2 linked regions of the Drosophila melanogaster genome follow. The protein of the gene in region 1 interacts with the protein of each later gene in a pairwise test. Each region holds a gene or a part of one and is shown in the gene's direction. Other genes may lie near its edges. The genes, in order: ND-20 and promL.

Evidence for each region.
Region 2: the proteins of ND-20 (region 1) and promL interact in a two-hybrid assay, tested with the Drosophila melanogaster proteins (one study listed by BioGRID).

Annotation. Positions count from the first base shown.
Region 1 is NC_004354.4:15,983,373-15,990,818, reverse strand, and holds ND-20 (NADH dehydrogenase (ubiquinone) 20 kDa subunit), read left to right. Parts: upstream 1-4,010; 5' UTR 4,011-4,081; exon of another isoform or gene 4,082-4,135; 5' UTR 4,136-4,142; coding exon 4,143-4,808; 3' UTR 4,809-5,346; downstream 5,347-7,446. Other genes in the region: CG46312 (uncharacterized protein), read left to right, coding at 869-965, 1,343-1,391; eIF5 (eukaryotic translation initiation factor 5), read left to right, coding at 1,990-2,202, 2,275-2,751, 2,830-3,534; Slc25A46a (solute carrier family 25 member 46a), read right to left, coding at 5,454-6,225, 6,281-6,628, 6,692-6,805, 6,868-6,899.
Region 2 is NT_037436.4:3,119,478-3,137,726, reverse strand, and holds the start of promL (prominin-like), read left to right. Parts: upstream 1-10,002; 5' UTR 10,003-10,074; intron 10,075-10,510; exon of another isoform or gene 10,511-10,701; 5' UTR 10,702-10,860; intron 10,861-14,561; exon of another isoform or gene 14,562-14,709; intron 14,710-15,712; exon of another isoform or gene 15,713-15,785; intron 15,786-16,527; 5' UTR 16,528-16,656; coding exon 16,657-17,059; intron 17,060-17,120; coding exon 17,121-17,268; intron 17,269-17,326; coding exon 17,327-17,455; intron 17,456-17,512; coding exon 17,513-17,700; intron 17,701-17,763; coding exon 17,764-17,928; intron 17,929-17,992; coding exon 17,993-18,123; intron 18,124-18,178; coding exon 18,179-18,249. Other genes in the region: CG11537 (uncharacterized protein), read left to right, coding at 4,687-5,418, 6,523-6,618, 6,691-7,215, 7,280-7,488, 7,549-7,635, 7,704-7,801, 7,868-8,140, 8,304-8,401.

The DNA of each region.
Region 1 (7,446 bases):
TCCAGCGAATTCAACTGCATTCTCTTATTTTATTTGTGTGGCTTATTATGCTTTATCTTCTGAATTATGGCATATGTTTATATAAGATATAAACCTATTAAGATTTAGACTTCGTATAAATAAATGCATAGTTTCAGATCAGACTTCACTTCATTTCGTGATATTTCTAAAGCCATCTGTTCTATAGAAAACCGATAATCGGGCAATAAATAATGTCTGCGATTCGTTTTATAATTTAGTAACACACCCATTCACTTGAAAAGTGCTTTGACAAGCTTTATTCGTTGAATTTCGTTATATTCCAATAAATAATATTATTATTATTAATATTACCCAAGAATCTCGTATAAAACATAATAAAAGGGCAGACCTTGAGTAACATAAAAGAATTACTCATAGTTAGCTAATAATTGGCTGTTGGGAACAAGAATCACAATCGTACTGAAATGTTTGTCACATTCGTCAATTTAGTTGGGAAAACACACGAATATATTCAAGGGGGGGTCCTAACGAAATTCTCAGTGTCATTTTCCGGTTGCAAAAGTTAATATCTAAGATACAACAAAACAATAAAATAGTTTATACTCGCTCGACCTCTTAACCCATTTGCTGAATGTTTTTCTTTTAAAATTGACCCTGCTTTAAGACCCAGCAGTTCCATAAGTTTTTTTTTGGCTCTCAGCAACACGAAATAGTGCAAATCAGTGTTATGTTTTTAAATGATTCCAATTACTTTTGCTTTGACGTTTCAAGCAACATCAAATATACAATAAGGTCCCGTACAAATTCCAATTCGAATGCAGTTTTATTGGCTTCCAACGTGTGCGTTAAATGCAATTACATTTCGTTTTATATTTGTATTTTTCAGAAACACCAGCAAAAAAAACCACACTTCTCATTGAGAAAAAACGGAGTAAAGGGTTCGAGCTGTGCATGAATTCAAAAGGGCGAACCAAAAATCACCGGTAAGCACAAATCACTGATGACCAGACCATTAAGTATTGCTGATTCAAGTCGTACGACGTTTTGTTGCAATGCACACACTCGGGGTTTCTACGATAAAAAAATCTGGTATTCAAATTAAATTCGCTACTGTTTAATACGAGGGGCCTTTTTTACCTTGGCTCACATATGTGGCTCCAAATGCATAATACTGTAATACCCGATAAGAATTGATTATATTTGCAAGCAAAGGGAAAGTGGTGCTAAATTGCATTAAATTATACGCTGTAGAAACAGCACTTCGGTGGGTTTTTTTTTAAAGAGAACTTAGCATAATTAAGTAATAAGCATTGCATATTCGACTCGATTAACCAAATCTATTTCATATTTGCCTTCGCAGGACTTCGAGTAACAGACATCGGAAGTTACAGCCATTCAGGTACACATGAGCCTGCTCCTTCTCCATTTTTTAAAGACTTAAACTGGTAAATTTACAATATAAATAAATATATATATGTATATATATATAAATATACAAATATATATATAGATATATATGTATATATATATGTATATATAATTATTCATATGAATTCGGAAAAAAATAGAATAGCTGAATACCTACCACGGCGAAAATAAACAAAATCTTCAGCAAAATAAAAGCAAAGCCATAACCTTGCAAAAAAAAAAGAAGAAAAAAACAACTTACTCTCAAGCAATTCTGGCCGATTCTTCAAATATATTCAGTACACCCGTTGTTTGATTAGAGCACAATTAATTCGCCGTTCCGGAAGGACACCAATTCCTGCTTATTCTGGATACATTTGTTAAGTAAGCAGCAGCGGCAACTACTCAAAATAAAAGAACATTTAATGAACGGAAACGAAAGTTGGATCAATCACAAACTAGCAGAAAACCTGAAGCCAATTACTTCCCATCCACCAATAACCAATAGATACCACTGGCCACCTCTAACAGTAGCAACATTACCCGAACAACAGTAATACCCATTATCAGCATTATCTGTGGAGCCGAAAACCTATCAAGATGGCCACCGTAAACGTAAACCGCAGTGTGACGGACATCTTCTATCGCTACAAGATGCCACGTCTGCAGGCAAAGGTCGAGGGCAAAGGAAACGGCATTAAGACCGTGCTGGTCAACATGGCGGAAGTGGCTAGGGCCATCGGACGCCCGGCCACCTATCCAACCAAGTACTTTGGTTGCGAGCTGGGCGCCCAGACGCTGTTCGATCACAAGGTATGTGCACGGATAGATATCCTATGTTACCCATGAGCTATGCTCCCATTAATCACTATTAATTTCATTCAGAATGAGCGCTTTGTTGTGAATGGATCGCATGATGTGAACAAGTTGCAGGATTTGTTGGATGGTTTTATTCGCAAGTTTGTGTTATGCCCCGAGTGCGACAATCCGGAGACCAATTTAACTGTGTCGGCCAAAAACCAGACCATTTCGCAGTCTTGCAAGGCATGCGGCTTCCATGGTCTGCTCAAGGTTAACCATAAAGTGAACACATTCATTGTGAAGAACCCCCCGTCATTGAATCCGGCCGCCCAAGGATCATCGCTAACCGAGGGCAAACGCTCGAGGAAACAGAAGCAGAAGAACGATAACGCCGATGGCTCCATGACCAATAACTCTTTGGCCAACAACTCTGGCGGTGAATCAGATGGCGGCAACGGCACAAATCAGGCTAGCCAAACTGAGGCCGAGATTAGCGCAGCTATTCCGGAGAAAACAGCCAAGGATGACGACGATGAGGGATGGAGTGTCGATGTTTCGAAGGTACGTTGTTTAATCCGTATATACTCGCAATTAGCTTAAAGAGCTATTCATATGTATATTACTACTCCACCCCGGTAGGAGGCTATTCGTGCTCGTTTGCAAGATCTGACTGATGGTGCTAAGGGTATGACTATTTCGGATGACTATGATAAAACTGAAAAGGAGCGCATTGATATTTTCTACGAGTTGGTTAAGGACAAGCGGGACAAGAAGCAATTGGATGATGTGCAAACTCACAAGGAGCTGGTGATTGAAGCCGAACGCTTGGATATTATTAACAAGGCTCCATTGGTTCTCGCCGAGCTGCTTTTCACTGAAAACATCATCAAGGACGTGCAGAAGAATCGCCCTTTGCTTCTTCGCTTCACCCTCAATAATCCAAAAGCACAGCGCTATCTAATTGGTGGAGTGGAGCAAACTGTAGAGCTGCATAAGGGTATATTGATGAGCAAGGTTGCTGGAATCTTCAAATTGTTTTATGATCTGGACATACTCGATGAGGCCGTCATACTGGAGTGGGCACAGAAGGTTAGCAAACGACATGTCTCGAAAAATATTGCTGCCGAAATACACGAGAAAGCTATGCCATTCGTTCTCTGGCTGAAGAATGCCGAGGAAGAGTCCTCCGAAAGTGAGGAGGAGGAGGACGATGAATCCGAGGAGGATAACTACGTTTCCAGTGCCGGCCAACGTGGCGGTCAACGGGTCGTCCAACGCGGAATTCCACGCGCTGTTGCAGGCGACGAGGATGACGAGGACGACGTGAACATCGACGATATCTAAAAGGAATCAAAAAGAGAACAGCTACCCTAATCCAACCAGTAATATTTTAAAAGGGGGAAAATCAAGCGAGCAAGCATAATCTACAATTCAAACTGAAATATAAATTAGCGAGTTAAATCAACATGTGGTTTTTTTTATCTTTAGTTCTTAAGAGTGCTAATCGTATTTTGAGTCGTCGCTTTACTACCATTCAATTGTTTGCATAACATTTCCCAAGCCGCTGTAACAATAGAATTACACCAACATATTACAAAATAAAGCAAACAAAAACATTAATAACTACTTTTTTACTTGCCTTTTGGTCAGCTTAAGCTATGACCTTCAAGCAAGTTGATTTTTTTAGCCAACCATTGCGTTCATGTGGGAAAAGGGCATAAAGTTCATGCTGCCGCAAGTGATGTGCTTGTGTGAGAATAGGATATCTAAAGTAAATTCGTATTTTATAGTATATTTTCCTGGTGCATTTGGTATTTTAGTTAGTAGTTCGGCGGCGGTCACATCATACGCATCCCCTATAAATCGAAATAAGTTGAAGTTACATAAATAGGTATTAAATGTTTAAATGCCCAGTCCTAGTATAACTACAGATTTACTTTAGCAGGATCAACATGCTGCGTTCGGCGATGATGTCATCGACCCTGTCCCGGGCTCTCCAAAAGGCGACTCAGACACCGAATGCGTCGATTTCGGCGCTGCCCGCTCTGAATTTGGCCCTGGTGCGCCAACAACAAACGCTTCCAGTTGCCGAAGTGGCCCAAAATCTGCCCAAGAAGGGCTACTCTCCGTTCGGCACCAAACAGTCCTCCGTTGCGGAGTGGTCACTGGCCAGACTGGACGATCTGCTCAACTGGGGTCGCAAGGGCTCGATCTGGCCACTGACTTTCGGTTTGGCCTGCTGTGCCGTCGAAATGATGCACATCGCTGCTCCGCGTTACGACATGGATCGATATGGTGTTGTGTTCCGTGCATCTCCACGTCAGGCCGATGTCATCATCGTCGCTGGCACGCTGACCAACAAAATGGCACCGGCCCTGCGAAAGGTCTACGACCAAATGCCCGAGCCACGTTGGGTCATCTCCATGGGCAGCTGTGCCAACGGCGGCGGCTACTACCATTACTCGTACTCCGTCGTCCGTGGCTGCGATAGGATAATCCCCGTCGACATATACGTACCCGGTTGTCCGCCAACCGCCGAGGCGCTCATGTACGGCGTTTTGCAGCTGCAGAAGAAGGTTAAGCGGATGAAGACGCTCCAGATGTGGTATAGGAAGTAAGGCAACGATCGGAACTTATATTTAAAATGTGAAACATCAAACGACATACGATTTTGCGAACAGAAATCATATTAAATATCGTTCTGTTAACGTTCAGTTGTTGTATACATTGTTTGTTGGATCACGAGGATATTGCAAATAAATGCCTTTCGATATAAATACAAACATTCAAGCTGTGCTTCTGTATCCAAACGTCAGCTTGAATCGTACGTGTGTTTGCCAACGGTCGTAATGAAAATCGTGAATTCGAAAAAAGTTTTGTTTCCCTTCAAAATGAGCGTGAAGTTAACGGCTCCTTCCTCTTTTTTTTATCGTGAATTGTATACACAACCATATCATTTAGTTGTCATAGAAACGATCGCACCAACCACAGGACAATCTGCTGTTTTTACTTAATTTTTCTGTATTCATTTCAAGGTCCTGACGTTTTCGGGACACAAAGTGCAAGAATATAAGCTCAGTTTAAAGTGTTTAAAATAGTTATATTTTTTAATTGGCAGATTTTTTTTTAACGCAACTGCAGAGTAAGCAAACCCTTAAAATACAATTATTCATGCTAACGTCCCAATAAACCCAACGAAAAATACAAAAAGAAATAAATATTTGTATAATTTACATATGCAATATAATTTGACTAGCCATTAACTAGTCTTGTGAATTCTGCCCAAGACTAATCTCCCCCATTTCGGTACTGGAAAGGCTTGGCGACAAGGTCGTGGACCTGGAGTTGCAAGCATTCTCATCCAGATTATAGTAATTCACTATTCGCTGTGGTGGTCGGTTGGAGATGACCTCTACGATTTGATTCACAACCCATTTGGTCAATTTGATGACGGCCACGTGTGCCGCAAACTGCAGGATCATGGCTCCAAAGCCCTTGTAGAGGCCACTAACTCCCTCGGAGACAATCGTTGTCTGATAGCAATCGACGACTCCTTGATAGTTTGTTAGAATGGGTACGACATCGTAGCCATTGTCGAGGTTGTCGATTATAGTTCGTGTTCCCTGCAATTGCAGACGGTGTAGAATCGTTTCGAACGGGAAGAACATGACCTCAGTGGTTATGATAGCAATAAGGCTGGCATAGATGTCCGCATTCTGTTGTTCCAGCGTGGTGTCCTGATACTTTCCACCCTGGCCGTCCTGGGAATTCTTTATACGAAGCCGCATTATGCGTGAGGACACGCCCCGTATCACGAGATTAAACAGATACTTGGTGATGCCAAAGGAGACACTTGGCCCGATTAGAGCCCAGGCTGGTAGCATACGGCCCTTTTGCGGAGAGCTCCAATAAAACAAGCGCAGACTTCCCTCCCGGAATACATCGAATAGACCGGGTTTCTCGCTGGCAATATCACTCTGCACCGTTTCGACGAGAGAAGCTGCATAGAAGGGCACCACCAGGCCGATACTTATGCTGTGAATTGAAAAGGAATAAGAGAATGGTCGAGATTAGGGTGTCAAGTGGGTACCATTTGAGCAGGAGATGCTGTCCGAAACGCTTTAGCGTGGTGCGACTATTCACATCCTTGGGCCAGCTGGTCACCTTCGAGATAAAGTCGTCGATGGCCAGCGTCATGCCGCGCACCAGTAGGCAGCTGCCCACGCCCTTCCACAGGGTCGTCAGTCCCTGCCTTCTGTGCAGGTGGACGATGCTGGGCAGAAGCTGAAAGGGATGCAAATGATAGCGTCTCGAGGCATTGTACACCTGGCACTGGCGGCGCAGCACCACAAACGGATGGCTAAGCAGGTTCTCGGTGACCAGGGAGACCCACTGTACGCCGACGACGTCCACAATCGCCTTCTCGCGCTCTTCAAGGCTGATTAATGGGAATTTATATAATTTAACAAATGAATTGATTTCGGATTCATTTCGGATGTACCTGCTTCCCAAGTGTTTGCTAGGGCCATAGGTCACGGGTAAATGTTGATCCCGGTCCCCAGTCCGATGCTCCTTGCCCAGGTGATCATCGTGCGTTTCATACTCCGCTTGAAATCTATAAATGGATGATGTTTATTAGTATGGCATCGTGATTATATATTATACCATTTTACATACTTTAGGCTAGAGTACTCATTCATTCCCGCCATAACTTTTCGTCTTCTTTGCTAGTTGGATATTTATATTATTAACTATTTTCAGGCAGGACTGGGTGGTGTTTTAAACATAATATCCAATTGTTTTGAAGTATAATTGGAACAATCCTATGGTAATTACCGAAACAAAAGGTCTTACTAATTTTGGTTTGGTATTAAAGCTTTCGGTGCGTTTCCACAGCGTCACATCTTATCAAAATAAGTGAAATCATTATTTTCACACTCCTAGTTAAGCATTATCTATATGTTTGGATATATGTTTGAAAAATATGAATTTATGAATCAGTTGTTTTTATATTGTGCATAAAAATTAAACATGCAGTATGAAATTGGGAATTAAACTATATTAAATTAGTAAACTCTTTTAAACCCGCATAGAATTAAAAACCCCAATACTTGAGTAATACCGCTCATTAAGAACAGCTGTTTGAGTAATAAATCCTTTTTAATGTCGCTACAATGTATTTTAAACGAAACCTTTATAATACTCCTAATCAAATCATATGCCACCCATTTTGTACAATACCTTATGTTCATTTTT
Region 2 (18,249 bases), on another chromosome or scaffold:
GTTTTTTCTGCCAGCACTGCAATTTTCATTTTTCATCTAGCTGCCGGAATCAATAAATCCTGTGCTTTGCTGTGGTGTCCTGCGTCCTTTTTGGTTATCCCTATGCCCGAAATTCGGTCAACAGTTGATTTTAGAACTATGCGGATTAAAACGGTTACAAAAAATTACATCTTACGAAATCTGAAGAGTTTACAGAGTGTAAATGTTGAATTAGTTTAGTTTACAACCCTATATATATATTAACCAATCGATAGAATTGATTATTTGCTGGCGGCAGCGGGGTGCTCAAAGTGTCAACCCAGAAAGCCAGTGAGCTCCTCCAAATCATCTTCCCATCCTGCGCCTTCCTCCTCCTGCTCATCGCGCTTGTGGGTCTCGAACCCATTTAGAGGCTGCACCCGTCGCAGCTTGCCACTTTCGGGCCATGTTGACAAACTATTTTTAATATTGAAAGGCGGCGGGCAGCGTTTGCCTCACACGAGAGTGTTGGTTGAGCCTGTGTTGGTTGGTTGGCTAATGTGAGCGGGCACATTACGTATCCGCAGCGTTGCACGCGCGCTGCAGGCTCTGAATTGAATTTCAACATCTGCCAGCACAGGCTCGTCTCTTTCAGCACTACTCGCGTCCTTTTCACTTGCCTCCGCTGGTGCACTCACATGACCTTGGTGCCAGGGAATGCTCTCCATTAGCCACCAGTCGTCAGCCAGTCCGCAGTTCATGTGGGCTGACATTTGGCATCAGCCATGGCGGAAGATGAAAGCGCTTCGGTTGGTCGATGGAAGTCACCACGTGCGCGTTTTCAGTTTCACTTGGCAGGAATTTAAGCTCTTTCGAATGAGTAGGAAAAAGTGAAAATCATAAGTATTTGTCCAAAAGTTGCTTAATTGTTTTTGCAAGGTGTTTTATGTAGCTTCATTTTTCATTTTAATGCTTATACCTTTTATTGTACATTTTCATTGAAGGCTCTATAGAAATGGCTTTTTCATTATTGCTGCTTTGAGGAAAATGAGTTATTTTTGTTAGCCTTACCGGAAAAGTTACATCTTAAAACCCCTCTGCCCACACTTTTGAAACAATAAGCCCGCATAGAAGAAGGAAATTTAATGGAATGGAATTCCGCTTATTGTTTGCTTTTAATGCCCGGCTTTTGGGTTGCTTACCCCTGCCAAAAGTGCCGCTGATTGATTTGTCAGGTCTGCTGGAGCGTTTTTAATTAAAATTGCGACAGTCCTTGGGTCCCGCCAGATTCCTATGCTTAAGGATTCAAGCACCTGCCAGCCCAGGGACCCACGCGCGATAATCTCTGACTTGGCATGTGGCAGGAAGCAAGCAGAAGGAATCGGGTAGCAGGATATTCCACTTTGGGGCAACTTCTGTGCTGCCTGTGCCGCCAGTGCTCGGTGTCCTTGGAGCCTCGGGCTTTGGCCTACTTTTCAATAAGCCACAACAATGGAGTTGCCAGTTATTGGCCATTGTCTGGTGGTCTTGGCATTATTGCGAAATCCAAATCGAAATCAAGTGCGCCACGAGCGCAAAATTTCAATGTGGAGCAAGTTGTAACTTCGCCAAAACACAATCTACGAAATTTGAATAAAATGCCGATTTATGAAAGCATTCCTTGCATATTATTGGATTCTCTCAAATGAAGTTGAAACAAATGTACAGGCTTGAATTTCTAAACTAACATCATTTGCCTACCGATGCAAGTGCACGAGTTTTCAGCCTAACAATATATTATAGAGAATATTTTTTTTTTCAGTGGCATTAAATGCATTTTAATGAAGTTCAGATCGTATCACAAATTTCGCTGGCCTGCGAATACCTGAGTGGCCCCCAACTTGACCCTGCCAACCTTTTTCCCATTTGAATTTTTGCGTGTCCTGCGGGAGGGCAACCCATCGGATGGATTGCCCATGACCGGCAAGATTAATTAGCAAACCAAACCAAAAATTCGCAACGCATTTCAGTCGAGGGCACGTTATAGCCACCAGTCGTTAGCTCACAGCCCGTTTTAGCCGGCTTTTCAATTTGACAGTGCCCAGCCCAGCGACAAACGACTAGCTAGTCACTTTTTTGTGACATTAATGAAAGGAAAACATGGAAATGTATTTTCCAGCATGTCTCTTGCCAAATCGTTACGCCATCGTGCTGACTTGTTGTCAGCTTTTTTCCATTGTTTTGCTTTTTTTTTTTGCCGTGCCTGCAAAACGAAAACGGATGCCTGTTCCCTCCCGTTCGTCCTGTTGTTTTACTTTTCGACGCTCCTGTCAAGGTCGTTCCTAATGCCTTTTGATGCGACACATGCAGGCCCATGTGTTGGAAGGGGGGGGGGGGGGGGTGCAGATCCTCCGGTTCATTCTCCCCATGATTGACTTGGCAGCTGGCGTTTCCCTCTCGGACAACAGGCTGTCCAAGTCCAATCCCTTGTCACTTGGCCAGTCGCGGAAATTGAATTTCTGAAGCGCCTTCGGTCTCCCGGCCTGCACTTGACCCGATTGCCGTTTTCTCACGGACTGCCCGGTCCGGCGGGGTCAGGTCACCATCACCAGCTCGGTTTAAATGGGTTTCATCTAGCTAATTCCACGCACGCGGCTGAGATTTATGCGCGTCAAGTTCGCGAACTTATCCATTTCGTTCTTATGAGAATTTTACATATTTTGGCGTACCATATTTATAGATAACTAGGCAAAAACAACTTTATTCATTGTATTATTATTTCATTGTATTATTATTCATTGTAAATATATGTAATATGTTTATTTATTTATTATTGAAATAATTTGCCTTTCAATATCACGCACTGTAGTTTATGTATGTTTACATGTTTTATAGCATAGAATCCCCCGAAATCAACCTCATCGGATCTTTTCGGCTCCGTCATCCTGAGACTTTATTGAGCCAACACAAGTAGCCAGCATAATTCCAGAGTGCTTGATAACAATAAAATCCATGTGGTCGGATAGCAAAAACATTTCCATTGTACTGGGGAGCACTGCTCATTTGCTTTTAACGCGAAACTTTCATCATCGTTGTCAAGTTCATCTATGTGATATGTGCGACAATTGCTTTTGGGCATTTTATTGTGCTTGTGAGGGGTATTTTTGCCATTTGGGATAATAGAATTGTTAATTTAATAGAATTTGAAACTTTGTAAGTCACAATGGCTGTAAAGTACGTGTGCTTGGAACTAATGTTTTGATTTGATCATACTCTCGTTTATAATTAACATTTAAACAACCCAAATGCAAACATATAATGCAAATATATTTTATATATATTATATATATTTATATTTCGGACTTGTATTTAAAACGAAAAATGTATTCAAATTGCAATGGATATCTTTCATTCGATACTTCAAGTTCAAGTATCTTTTCTCTATCGTGTGCCTCTGCTTGTGACTCTTTTGTAAATAAGCTTCACAGCAGGTGGACATGTGTTTCTCTCTGGGATTCTCTGTTGCTCTGCCGAGCTTCCGCTCACTGGAAGACCGGAGAACTGGCGAATCGGTGGGCTGGAGAACCGAGTGCCCAAGCGATCCAATTTAGTGAGTCGCGCACATCGAAACGCAGCAGACGTCGCTGGTTTTTTGAGGGGGGGAACAATCTCGATATCGACAGCGTCACAGTTGGAGATGTTTTTGATTCACATGTTTGTCAAAATTCTAGGTGACTTTTTTTCGTTAGTCGATTTAATTGAAATTTCAGAGATCGATATTCGCGCGCGTGGTGTGAATCGCTGTGATCTGACGTGAGTCCAGGCATCCAAAAGTCGGCGGGTATGTGATTGTTTATTCCACGTTCTGCGGACCGGACAATTCCCAGAAATAATTCGACCCATCTGACATGACCGGAAAATTGCTGTGAACTGCCAGGCAGCGCCGACTTGATTTTCCATTCATTTCACTTTGATGTGCCTCGATTTAAATTGCTTCGTTTGCTCATTTCCCTAATGTTGATCGATCTACTTTCGAGCCTATCCAAGCTTGCGACTGCGATTTACACCAGGGTGTTAAAATCGCCACAAAGCACTGACATTAAGTGGCTTTTAGCGCGATCTTTATCTTTTTCTGGGCCAAGTAAGTGTGGATAACACATTTAGATTCCGACAAAAAGCAGCATACTTTGCGGCGCCTTTAAGGATTAAAATCATTTTCCAAATATAAATCACACATATTTTTCGAGTTATTAATTTACTCTAGTAGTTGCATACAACTTTTAAACGGTTTTTCATTAAACAACAAACAAACAAGAGTGTTCAGTACGGCGATGTTTTTAGTGTGTTGTTTTGCCAACTTAATATTCCTAGGGAACAGCTGAAAGCAAATCGCGCGTTTCGCATGAATTCAAATGAGTAAGAGCCATTCGGTTGGCCAACTTTAATTGCAGCTAGAGAAGTGCCTCAAAGTGAAACGTTGCCAGCGGAAACAGCGTGTTTAAGCCAAACAAATGATAAGATAGAACATCGCTTCGATCGCCGCAGAAACGAGGAGATAAACGGAGTGGTGGAGTGCAGAGCAGTGGAACGGATCGTATCCCCAAAATCACAGCCGAAATCATCATCACCACTCACCGCACATCGCACATGTTCGTGGACCCGTGGCAATGGAAATTAGTGTGATAAGCGAACCCACAGAAGCACTAGAAACCAAGAGGGAGACACGCAGCTAAAACGGATCACGATACCATGCGCAGCGGGCGGAGCTATGGCCAGCGGCAGAGCGACACGTTGGAGAGCAGCTTCGAGCTGGAGGATTCCGAGGCGGAACAGGTCAATTCACCGGTGGCAATCAAGGGAGAACCATCGGCGCACGGAGATACAGATCGGGATGGGGATGCCGATCGAGAGCGGCAGGAGTCGGGTGAACAGACGGACAGTCTGAGCACGCGTAGCAGCAGCTCCACGCCGACAACGGCGGACGTGGCCGATGTGGAGACGATCAGCTCCCTGCCGCTCTCACCACCCGCCTTTGGCGGTCGGGGCAATCAGCTGGTCAAGCGTCACTCTCCGCTGAAGGACAAGCAGGCAGAGCAGGCGGACAGCAGCTCCAGCTCCAGCTGCAGTCAGCAGCCCGATGCGGACGATGTGCCCACGGTAAGTGGGTGCGATCTGCGGCAGAGCCCGCCCTCATCTTCGTCCTCCTCCTCCTCAACTTCCACATCCCCGCAGACTTCGCGGTATGCAGCTGCAGCAGCACATCCCAGCGCGGCATTCGCGGAGACGGCGATCACCGCGTCGTCGGGATCGGGCCGAGTGTGCGGCGGTAGCGGAGGAGCCGCCCACAGGCGCACCCACTCGGCCGCCTCCTACATCTCGATGAGATCGCAGGGCGGCAACTCGGAGGCGACTCCGGAGCGACCAAAGCGTAACCGCTTCTTCGAGTGGATTCGCGTTGTGTGCAACATCTGCTGCTGCAAGGTATTTCATAAAAAACACACACTTTTCAGTTAAGTTAACCCATTTACTGATATACAATTCCATTCACTGATGTTACTTGTTATAGGTAATGTAGCTACAAGTTCACTTAAGGTTTATTATTATGAATAATCTAATTTTTTAAAGGGCTTTACATAATTACTCAGACTCAAATAACTTCTGTGTAATTGGGTTTCTTTCACAATAGCCAGATAAGATGTACCATATGTAAGATAAACTCGATAAACGTTTAATTTATCTAACAGATAACGCTTATCTCAAGACCTTGTCCACATTTAATTGGAACATGGAAAATTATTGTTTTGATGGAGAATATTGTTAAAGAAAAAACTATTTGTTATTTGTTATTTATTTAAAAGCTCCAAAGTAGATAAATCATGTCAATATTTCTACGTTAAAATAAGTGGGATATTAACGAAACTAAAAATTAAGAAACAATCGGATTGCTCCGGTTATTAACTTAGTTTTCTAGTTAATTGAATTCAGTAAATACTGAGCCTCATTAGATGTCATTCTCTTCAATACAACAATACAAGTTTCCAGTTAATTAGCGCTAGTAATTAATAATTCAATAGGGACTTATTAAGAGTCACCTTTAACCCGAGTAGCTATTATATTTAATTACAATATATTCTTCCTTATTCGATCTTTTCTGATCATAATGAAAGCTTCTTGACTAGTTTAAATATTAACCGAAATCATTTGGGTTTCGTTTTCCATTTATTGAAGCGCGACAAAACAAATCAGTTGCCGGCATTCCGAATCCATGGCCAGCCGGACTCGGGTGACATTGGTGCAGTTAACGAGCTCAAACAGTTTCGCATTTAGTACAATTTGTTTTTAGCTGACGCGGGACTCAAATGTTTACAAATAAAGGCGGCCAGCAATTGGCCGGGGACTCAAAGGGTTAACGCGGCATTGTCGTCGCCTTATCAACTGGTTGGGTTCAAAACGATGACGCACTCGCATGGGTGCGTCCGCCAGTGCATCCTGCTATTATGCCAATTGGCAGCGGGCGCGTCACTTTAATTAGCCGATAGATATCTAAATTATTACTAATGAGCTTTCTAATTTCTAATTTCACAGAGTTCCGGAATCGGGGAGCCGAGTGTTCATCATGCGCTGGTTGTGATATTTCTAGAGTTCTTCGCCTGGGGCCTGCTGACGATGCCCATAATATCGGTGAGCTAACTATATAACTATATATGTTTTATATACGTATCAGATTTTAACTCTTTCCTCTTTTTCGCACAGACTCTCAACCAGACGTTCCCGGATCACACATTCCTAATGAACGGCCTGGTCATGGGCATCAAGGGGATCCTGTCGTTCCTGTCGGCGCCTCTGATCGGCGCCCTTTCGGACATCTGGGGCCGAAAGTTTTTCCTATTAGTCACAGTATTCTTCACCTGCCTGCCCATACCGCTGATGTCCATCAATACGTGGTGGTTCTTTGCCATGATCTCAATAAGCGGCGCCTTCGCAGTCACCTTCTCGGTGGTGTTTGCCTACGTGGCGGACGTCACCACGCCGGAGGAGCGATCAAAGGCCTATGGCCTGGCCTCGGCCACATTTGCCGCCAGTCTGGTCATCTCGCCGGCTCTGGGCAATGCCCTGATGGAGATGTACGGAGACACGCTGGTCGTGGCCCTCTCCACGGCCATTGCGCTGCTCGATGTATTCTTCATACTGGTGGCCGTGCCGGAGAGTCTATCAGAGAAGATGCGGCCAGCCTCCTGGGGTGCGCCTATCAGCTGGGAGCAGGCGGATCCATTTCTGGTAAGCTGAAGCTTTAACCTCTGAATTCTCTCAAACTAGTTTTATGACACTGTGCTCTTTTTAGGCCCTGCGCAAAGTGGGCACCGATAAGACCGTGCTGATGCTGTGCCTCACCGTGCTGTTATCCTATCTGCCCGAGGCAGGGGAGTATTCCTGCATGTTTGTCTATCTGAAACTGAAGATGGGCTTTAACTATGTGGAGGTCTCGGTCTTTATAGCCATAGTAGGCATCCTCAGCATCACGGTGCAAGTCACACTCGGCTCCTTCATGCAGTGAGTTTAAATTTCTTCAGCATGATTTTTTCGGTGGCTAATTACATGCTTCTTTCGCAGAGTGTTTGGAGCCAAGCGCACGATTATAATGGGCCTAGCCCTGGAAATCGTGCAGCTGCTGTGGTACGGCTTTGGCAGTCAAAAGTGGTGAGTAATAAATATCTCAAATATCTTAGAGGCATATCATCTAAATTAAATCCCGCTTCTTTATTCAGGATGATGTGGTCGGCTGGCGTTGTGGCTGCCCTGGGCTCCATCACGTATCCCGCCATCAGTGCTTTTGTATCCCTTTATGCGGCTCCCGAGAGTCAGGGTAAGTAAAAGGGCTTGAACTGCTCCATTCGAAAGATCTTAGCTGAATCAAATGTCACAATTTCAGGCGCTGTTCAGGGCATGATCACGGGCATGAGGGGTCTGTGCAATGGCCTGGGTCCTGCGGTCTTCGGCGTCGTCTTCTACCTGTTTAACGTCGATCTGAACGACGACCACGACTCGCATGCGAAGAGCAGCGGCAGCAGGGCGACGAACGTGGAGAAGATCTCACAGCATGTGCCAGGTCCGCCCTTCGTGTTTGGTGCCTTGTGCGTCTTCTGTGCCATAATAGTGTCCGCGTTCATTCCGGAGGGGCAGACCTCCACATTGGAAAAGAAACGTAAGGGTCCACAGACGCCATTGTTGATAAGTTCGCCAAGCCATCTAACCATCTTCCCACCCATTGTCCCGGAGCAAGATGCGCCAATTGCAACCTAGTCATGAATAAAATTCCCAGTGATGTGAAAAACACTGTGCTGACTTTCCATTCCGATCTTTCGCAGGTGCCTCGCTAGACGTACAGTACGAGATTGAGCCGGGTCACAAGGCGCCCAGCTCACTGGCGCCGCTCATTCGCTCCGACTCGCTGGCGCAGCTGTAGTGCGCTCCATTGCCGGCGTCCTATCCACACAACTTGAACCCAGCTGGTGGCTATAGATACGTATAAGCAGTGTTAAGGAGTTAAGGATTTTGTAACTGTAAACAAATGCTGTAACTAGTTTGGCTTTAGTTTCCGAGTCTATTCTATTAGGTGCATATATATCGCAGATCAGGCCGAGATAATGTTATTGTTTTGATGGTTAGATCTTCGTTTTACCTTAGTTTCCACAACGCACCTTGTCACACCACAAACCACCTCAGCCCAATTATATTTCGTAATTAATTTATTATTGCCTAAGTAACGTAGTCACATATATTCGATTCGATTGGCCCGTGTGCTTGCCCGCTTTTCCAGCTTCTGGCTTCTGTTTCCGTTTGCAATGCTTTTGCGACTGTTGGTTCTCTTTGGGTTGGGATTACATCACTGCTAGAGCTAATAATGTTTTGCAACAACAACAAAATAACTGCCAAATAATAACAAAAAAAAAACCAAGTAAGTGTAATCCGATATCTTTGAATGAAATCGCGTAAATTCAGCACAGCACAATACTGTATCCCGAATATCGAATCGCATTACTAATTTAGTTCACCCCAAAGCCGTTTAGTTACAACAATTAGGAAGAGGAAAATCCAAATAAACTGAATACCAAGCTTTACTTTGAAAATCGTAGTGATTTAAAGTCTAAACTCTAATGAAATGAATTGCAAATTATGATGAATTTGGTCACAAACTAGGCGACTTTAACCGCAAACCACAAGGTATATACAAAATAAATATGTATATATATTTATATATATAAATAGAGAGATATATGTATGGGTACTGACGACACAAAACGAATGTTTTTAATTTAGCCGATTGCGAAGTTAACGCCTCCGATCATGTGCAACGCTATAGTTTTTATTTTGATAATAACGCAACTTAATGCAGAGCCTTCAACAAAGTCAATGCTTGAACGTGTAGGGAGCACACGTGCATGTGTATGTATAGTATAGTACCATAGATATCAAAGTTATATTTTTCGATGTTGCTACAATCGTGTAAAACTTCCCCACTTGCTCCTCCCCCTCCCATAAATGAAAACATGCAGACATAGGACGTACGTACATACACATCCACCCGTGTGAGCAGTGGACGACAGGTGGTCAATGGAGTAGTGCCCCCGGAAGAAAAATCGGGGGTACATATACGAGAAAACTGAATCCAAATTTTGATTGTAAATTATTTAACGTCTAACATAGTGTTTTAAACGAAACCAAAATAAACAAAATTGTTTAATGAAACGCTAGTACAATGAATTCGAGACTCCTATATCTGGAAAAGGAAGAGGCTAAGTATTGAATCTAATTTGTGGGAACTGTGGTTAAAAGAGCTAAATCTTAATTTATATACTCCTTACGCATTGTGTCGCATTACAGAAACAAGATCCAAAAAAATTTGAATTTAAACTTAGTTTCCGGTTATGATTTGCGTCTCCGGTTAACGGTTTTTTTATAGTATTCTTCCAGGGCTCCGTCGGTTTTCCGGTATACATTTAGTATTTAATTTCGGCGTATTTTTGCGCATTTATATAAGCCACGAACGGGTATTCCCTGGCTCCGCGCACTGTCACATTGGTCCAGAACTCTTTGAAATGCGAAGTTTTTCGATCGGATAAATTTGGAATAGAAAAGGTGAACATCCGGGGCGGATCTAGTCTGAATGGAGCGTGCCTTCGCGTGACTGAAACCCGATTGGCCACGCCTACTGCCACGGGAAAATATGAAAAGCGAGTGAAAATCACAACAAGCGCCAGGTGTAACTGGCAAACAAAGAATGTTTCGAAAGGGCGGTGCAGTGCAGTGATACATACAAAAACAACGCCAACTATATATATATATATATATATATGTATATAAGTATATGTACAACATGTGTGTGCGTGCTCGTTTTAAAATCGCTTAAAGAGACTTACTTCGGATTATAAAATATCCATGTTTTCCATGGAACTTGCTACCAAGAACTCCAATTAGGCCAAAAGGGCCACTGGAAGCTGGAAAAGTGGGAAATCCTCGTTGCGCCAGCGACCTTAATTTTTGTTGTTTTTTCTTTGTTCAACAAACTTTCCCAACGGTTTTGATTTATCTGTTAATATTACCCCAAATTCGACTGGAATTTTACACGATTTAACACGAACAACCATTAGTTTTGTAAAACGAAGCCCAAGTCATTTTTATAAGTTGAACAAGCTGCACTCTTAGCTGTCCAAATTGGGTGTTTTATTGAAAGTCCGGCGACGTAATCCTCCGCTTCCCTTCCAGCATCCGTTGGGGGATACGAGCCTGGAAGTCTGAAACTGCCACCGATCGCTGGATCCTACGGCTAATTGGATTTGGACGCCGCGTCGCATCATCATCATCTTTCACGTGCCCGAGTCCAACAGCCAGCTTAATTGGCTTAGGCGGCGGTTGTCGATGTTGGTGAGTGTCCGTCGGCTCATTTATGCTGTTTATTTCAATTTACCCAGCCCGAGAAGCGAGTTATTCAATTTGCGGTGTCGAATTAGTAGGTATAGCGCCCTTCCTGTCTCGAAATGTATGCTCCGCCCTCCCTTCTCGCCCAGAAATCCCACCTGGCGGCACTGCACTAATTGCTCCATCCCAACAAAACACTCAAAAAAGGAACTCCCGCAGACATAGACACGCACCCGCAGATGTATATACACTATACATATATTTCGGTGTAGATATGTGCCACACATCCCTGACCTGAGATACAAGTGCGTGTGGTGGGAACGACACCCAGCCGAGCGGAATCCGTGTATTTATAGAGTTTCGGGGTCTATTCTATCATTTCCCAGCCACACACTTTGCAGAACTTGGAAGCAGACTCTGAAAAAAAGCCCCACGTGATAGATTTAGCTTGAATAGGCAGAATTATAAATCTAATCTTTACAAAAACGGGAAGCATTTGTTGATTTCATTCGAAATTCGAGCTCGAAGTTGAGCCGAGAAAAAATAATCAAAATAAAAATAGTCAAAAAGCTCAGATGACTTTCAACAGTAAGCGATTGTTTTTGCTTTGTTTAGGATTAAAGTAAGATAAACATTAAAGCAAACCAAACAAGTTGATTCTAACCGACTAAGCGGTTTGCATGACTATTTTCAAATTCCAAAAATAAAAAAATGCAAATAGGGATAACGTTTCCAGAATGACAAGTCTGGGTATAAATAATTAAATGTAAAGCCACTTGCTCAAATAGCACTAATAAACAAGATATGTAGAATGCTAAATCCGAGATGAAAGTTATAAACATAATAACAAACACTGTACTATTATTTATGTATATGAAAACGCAGAGATAAGCGCAGAGTTTCGAATCATTAATCAAATACTCCAAACGCAAATGGAGAACTTATGACGCTGGTCGAAATCCGAAGACAAACGGAAAATGGACACAAGTTCATCCAAGGTTTACAATATGATAAGCGATTGGATAAGCTGGCAAGAAATTTGCCAACCTTCATATCAGATTCGCTGAGCAATGAAGCTGACTCAACTTTCAGTATCAAGATGATATAATGCATCTGCGGGCACGTGAGCATCTTCTGTTTCTGTCAGTGTACATGGCTTCCGTTTCTTCCTAAAAGTATAGCGAACTGCTTCTCGATCGTCTGCACCTTTTTTTTATAACTTTTCAGTTCATTTCCGCCCCTTTTCTCCGACTTCCTTTGTTTGGATTCGTTCAGTTCAGTTCAGTTTTCATCTAAAGAAGTTTACTTTGTATCTGCTTGTGTGATTAGCCCATTTTTCTGCGCTTTTTATCGGGGAGTGAGTCAGTCACGAGAAACGAGTTTTTGCTTTGGCACGACTTCACTCCATCGGCAGGGCAACCTGTTCTCTTGCGATGTCTTTCGCCTCGAACCGCCGTCCATGGACTCCACCTCCCAGCCGGCTGTTCCAAATTCGATGTGGATGTCACTTGGCGGAGGCGGTCCGAAATGAAAAGATGTGGATGCTGCAAAGTGTGTGTTCTCAATTCGGTCGAAAAGTTAGCTGCACTTTTCTGGGGAAAATTTTATATTTATAAACAGATTAATCACACACATCCCACTTGGAATTTGAAGATGACTCTGGGTCATTGTGTCATCTTTGGTTATCTCTGATTCAGACTCTTTCCGGCCTCGTAAATCAGTAAAGTTCAGTGCTGCTATATACTTATGGTCTATGTAAAAATAATCTTAATGGCATCCATTTCATAGAACTCTCGGAGTTCTTGAGAACGGAATTACTAGATAATTGAAGGAATATGTTCAACTCTGACATTATAAGAAAACGTTTTCAATTTGACAACTGCTAGACCACTTATTATTCCAAGTTATCAGCAATGCTGATTGCTGTCATTGGTCGTCATAAAACCTATTTATTCTAGTATACATTCCAATAATAACTGCAGACGATTTACGTTCATGGGAATTCTTTTAAATATTTATTTACCACTCAGCCATTTTTCTTCGGGACTGGCATTGATTATGGCTCTATGGATAGGGGGAGAGCGGTAATTGTTGTTATTAATGCAACCTTCACTTTGTATTTAATTCTTTTGTTTATACAAGCCATAAGCAACCGACGCTCAGGTACCGTCATTAAGTTTATCGTGTTCGGATTCCACTTTTTGCTGATTTAGCCGCCAGCAGATTTTGAAGTACCTTGCACTTGGCGTTTCCGCAGATACAGTGGTCACTCGTTCTATTGGTCCGTGCCTGTGACCCAATACGGGTATCGCCAAATAAGTTTGTTTGTTTAACTTCGTCAACTTTCTCTCGTTCGCGAAAAAAAAACAAGTTGGATTCAATCAGCTGGGTTGGAACAGACAAGCCATTCAATTGCAAGAAATGGATTGTTGCCTTTGTTACGATCTGTTGTTGACTCATTTTACCTAAATGGGAAAATGTATTGCGATATCAAATACCTACTGACGACAATGGGTATATTGAATTCGTAACAGCTCGTTAAAGCTTGAATAATCTGGTTTATTTTGATTCATTCTACGGCTGAGTTTGTTCTGCAAATTAACAGATTGCGAATTGTATACCTTTTATCGCTCTAGTTGTATTGTTATTTGTAAATAGACAGTAAAGTTGATTAATCTAGCAAGTTTATTAGAGTTGTGTCTGGATCTTGTTACTTTCAAAAGTTTAGATCATTTAAAAAACACTTTACGACTCGTGTTGTTGGCAATTTATAAGATTTGGATCCCAAATTCCGAGAATTGTGTACATTTTATTACCCGATTATTAGCATTACTTCGCTTTGGTGTTATAGCCATTTTCCAAATAATAATAAAAATTTTATTGGTCGGTATGACCACCATGAATTTTTCATTTAATTTAGTTGTTTACCTCCTACTTGCCATAGCAGGATTTTTATATTCCGGAAAGTTTGGAATTTTTCATATTGAATGATTTTGTGGTAAATATATGCATGGAAATTATTTAGAATGTGTTCTTTTAATTTCTTCGATTCTATAGAAACCTAGTTTGAAAAACAAATGTTTAAACAAATGCAAATGTGAAAGCTATCGTATTTACTTAAAACAGCTGTCCATAAGACTGCAAACTTTTTTTTGGAAGTTTATTGTGGCCGATATTTGTTTGTACATGTATGCAAACATACTATATATACAGTGTGGTTTATTATGGGCATTTTGCACTATGTAAAACTGAACTCTAACCGGAATTAAGGGCATTTTGCGTGTGGCCTTGCCGAGCGTTTGCCTGTTCCGCCCACTGTTCGAGGGAGTGCAGCATCCTTGCAGAATCGCACTGCGCATGTTCCTGATTGCCATGATGTCCTCCCGCAAAGCCGAGGCTGCAAATTGTTTTGTTTTCTCTAAATTGCTGAGGAGACGCGACCTCTGGCTATGCTTAGGACTCAGCAGGACTGCGATTGTACTGCGAGCTCCCTTCCAAGTGAGATTTTCGAGTAGGGGAATGGCAGCAAACTTCGGGCAGGAGCGGCTTCTGGTTCGCAGCCCGCAGCGTAGCGCGTGTCAAGGCCGTTCAAAGGCTGCCCCACCATGGGGGTATAGAGAATTTTCTGCACAGTAGCGGTGGCAACGCAGCCCTACAGCATAGCAGCAAATGGAGCATCGGTTTTCCAGCGCCTTTAGTTTGTTCCCAGCCAGACAACGCGGCGTATACGCAATCGACACCAAACACTCGCTTGTTTTGGACAGCCATTAAGACCCTGTCAGCAGGTGCAGTCCGCAGAAACGTCTATTTTTACACAGCCATCAACACGTCTGGTAATCCAGCTCTTTCCGGAAAGTAAGCAGGGTATGCTCGTAAAGAAAAAGAGGGACAACCTCGAGATAAGCAGGCGGCATTGCAGTGCTCCGAATGTGTATATAAATACGTATAGTGTTGCGACACTACATTCTGTCGCCGTTTGGGGGCACGACGGGGCCAGGGCGCAAGGGCTAGGCTATAAAGCATAATGCCATGGAAAGCCACCGAGCCGAGGGGGCAGACCCTTGGCCGCTTCCCTTGTCCACTCGCCCACAGAGTTCAATAAACTTGTCGATTTCTTTGTCTGTCTATGGCTGTTGTGGTGCAAAGACAGTCGATGAGTGTAACTGCTGCTTGTTGCTCGCCTCGATGGCCATAAATTTACAGTTGCCAGTGGCGGGTATCAAATGAGCACACTCATTCGTATTCTTGGATCTATGCTGGAAATATGAGCAAAGTTGATAGTGAGTAGGCAGTGCGATCGGAAAATGCTAGCTCCGTCAGCAAATTCCTTATATAAAAAAAATAATAATTTATAAACGCAAATCGTCAGTTGGCCTTGCCAACCAGTATTCTGCAGTCGTGTGTTCAGTATTTTTAATCAAAAATTCACAGTACTTTTTATGGGTTTTAGGAAGTTCTTAAAACGATCATATAAATGGTGAGGATGTGACTAATATCTGAGTAATAAAGTATTTCAGCATTTGATAAAATGTTAATGCAAGTGCATTTAAAATTGTACATTTAATTTAGACATTATTGACATCAAATATTGATTAATTACCTGTGCTTGAAAAATCAAATGTGTTTTTTTTAACGTGATTACACAGCGTGATAACAAGATAACGCTTCATATTCGACATCGATAAGAAGAGACTGCAAGTTTCTTATCTGATAATTTTAAATAAACATGTCGCACAGACACTTTATTCCTTACAAATGTACCTACATAATATAGGTAGGTATATTTATTTATGCGTTTAGGACTCGCACACATAAGAACCTTTGGCAGAAGTTTGCTTTTTGCCGGCAACGTGTTCATGCCTCGATGGCGCAGTTGGCAGCGCGTAAGTCTCATAATCTTAAGGTCGTGAGTTCGAGCCTCACTCGGGGCATGTACATTTTTTGTTTTGTTTTTTATTTTGACATTGCAAATATTGCAAATGTTTTGCCTATTTAGAATATTTCCCCAAGCTAGTAATTTGATAGTTGGGTAATTATGCAAGGCGACTCACGCAATGCTTCCGAGCATAGCTGGTGACTCATGATCTACGGACAAGTGCATTCAACCGACGCCAAAGGGACTTTCACCTCCCCGACAGAGATATAACACCTGCCAACGGTGGGCAATGTGCCAAAGCCGAAGCTCAGTCCTTTGTATCGCCAGTGGCTTGCATTCTCGGGCAGCAAATGCCTGAACCCATTGTCATCTTCTCGGCTTTTATTGACCTTAATTGATGTCAAGTGGATGTGAGATTGTCTCTGGGTGTGTGTTTGTGTGCGCATTGCAATGTGGAACCAATCCTATCCAAAGCCTGTGATGGGATTATGCCCCATTTGCCTGGACACACCAAGAAACAAATATATTTTATTGCCCCGGCCAAGCATTTCTTATTGGACGAGGACATGCTACTGCCACATTAGGGTGTGAGCTCTGCTCTGTCCTCGCCCATTTACATTTAAAAAACGAAAGGAATTTAGATTAAAGATTAATTCGATAGGTGTCGCTTGAAAAGATACACTTACAGGATACCGCTTATGACTGAGATCATCATATGAATGGCTGACAATAAAGTGTGGCTCTATCTTAAAACTAAACTATTTAATTAATCTTGTATTCTATTTTCCTGATTGCAGGCCACTGACGTGTGAAATGGGTGTGGGCTACTACACCGAAGGGAACACGATTAAGAGCAGCAGCTCAGCACGTTAGTCAGTTTGAGGAAGCTTCACCGAGACAGGAAGTCCTTCGAAAAGCAGTCGGCCATGGGTGAAGTAGCTGCCACAGTGGAGCCTCTGGCCGCGGTCAAGTCGAAATCCATGCGATCCCGGAAGAGACGACAGCGTCGTAGGCGACAAATAGCCTACCTGGCCATATGTGGATTAAGTGTAGCCATATTCGGCTTCGCTTTGGCCACGCTGATCCGGCCCACAACCGCCCAGGCTGATGCAGATCCCGGGAGCTGGCGCAAGGGATATGTGGGCCATGGCACCACGCACGAACAGCTTGGCCAGCCCCATTGGCCACCAGTCCAGTACACTGTATACCGGCCGACAACCAACTACACAAAGGCACCACCACCTCCCACGTCCGCCATGAACCCCATTTTCAATTTTACACACTTTCTATATGACAAGGTTCTTTATAGGGATGAACCCATTCCGGAGGGTGAGTGACGTACACATTGGATAAATAAAGGATAAAACACTTATTTCTCTTAATATTGCAGGTTACATTGTCGTAAAGAATTCGGACACTTTGAGCTTGGGTCCCAAAGTGGAGGAGAATGACTGGCGGGATCTATTGGCTCATTATTGGATGGTTCTCATCTGGGTTGTTATTCTCGTGGTGCTCATTATAGTCATACCGTTCATTGCGTGAGTTTTGAGACCATTGATTCAATTAACGTAGATAACCAATATTTGTTCACCACAGCGTTTGCTATTGCTGTTTCTGTTGCTGCCGACGATGTCGACAGGGATGTCCTCCGTGTACCAGTAAACAGGATGCTCAGCGGCGCTTCTGTTGTGGCATCTGTCTGTTGATCCTCATCATCGGACTGATGTAAGTGGAGGCACTTAACCAAGAAAAGTCATATTCGAAATAATCTGTCTTCTGCAGTTTTGGCATCATTATCGCCTTTGTTACCAACAAAATGATTGACAGCGGCTTTGCCGAGACTTCCGAGACAATGAAGCGCGGCAGCGAGGACACTTGCACTTATCTGAAGGATGTAGCCGATCACGTTCACCATCTGATGATGTACAACTACGAGGAGATGGAGACTCATGTGCTTGATCAATTAACCCGTAAAAATAATAATGGACTGCAATCCTTTGATTAGTTATTTAACAATTATACTTTTTTTTTAGACGCTCACCGGCACATATTTTTGGATCTCTCCGACACATCGGAGAGTAATTCCTTGGCAGAAATGGAGCGAGTTTTGGAGAACATGCCCGAGGCTCTGGAGCTGATGAGGCAAGTGGAGAAGATGGAGAAAGATCTGCGCTTCTATGGCTCCCAATTAAGAGATGGTAAGGACTTTTAAAAAAGTCAAAGAGACTGCAGTAAATAATAAAACTATTCACTTTACTTCAGGCGTCCGTGGCATTAAACGAGATGTCAACTTTGCAGTGGCCAATCTCTGTCAACTGCAGATGTGCCAGAAGTTCCTGATTAGCAGCAATATCGAACACATTGATTCCTCGCAATGCCTGCACTTCGACAACGTATGACTGGAACTCAATTTGTAATAACAAAATTATTAACCCCATCGTATTTTAGCTCCCGAACACCAAAGAATTTGTAGAGGGAATGGAGAATATAGTTGCAAGTGAGTATTACGCTATACCTCA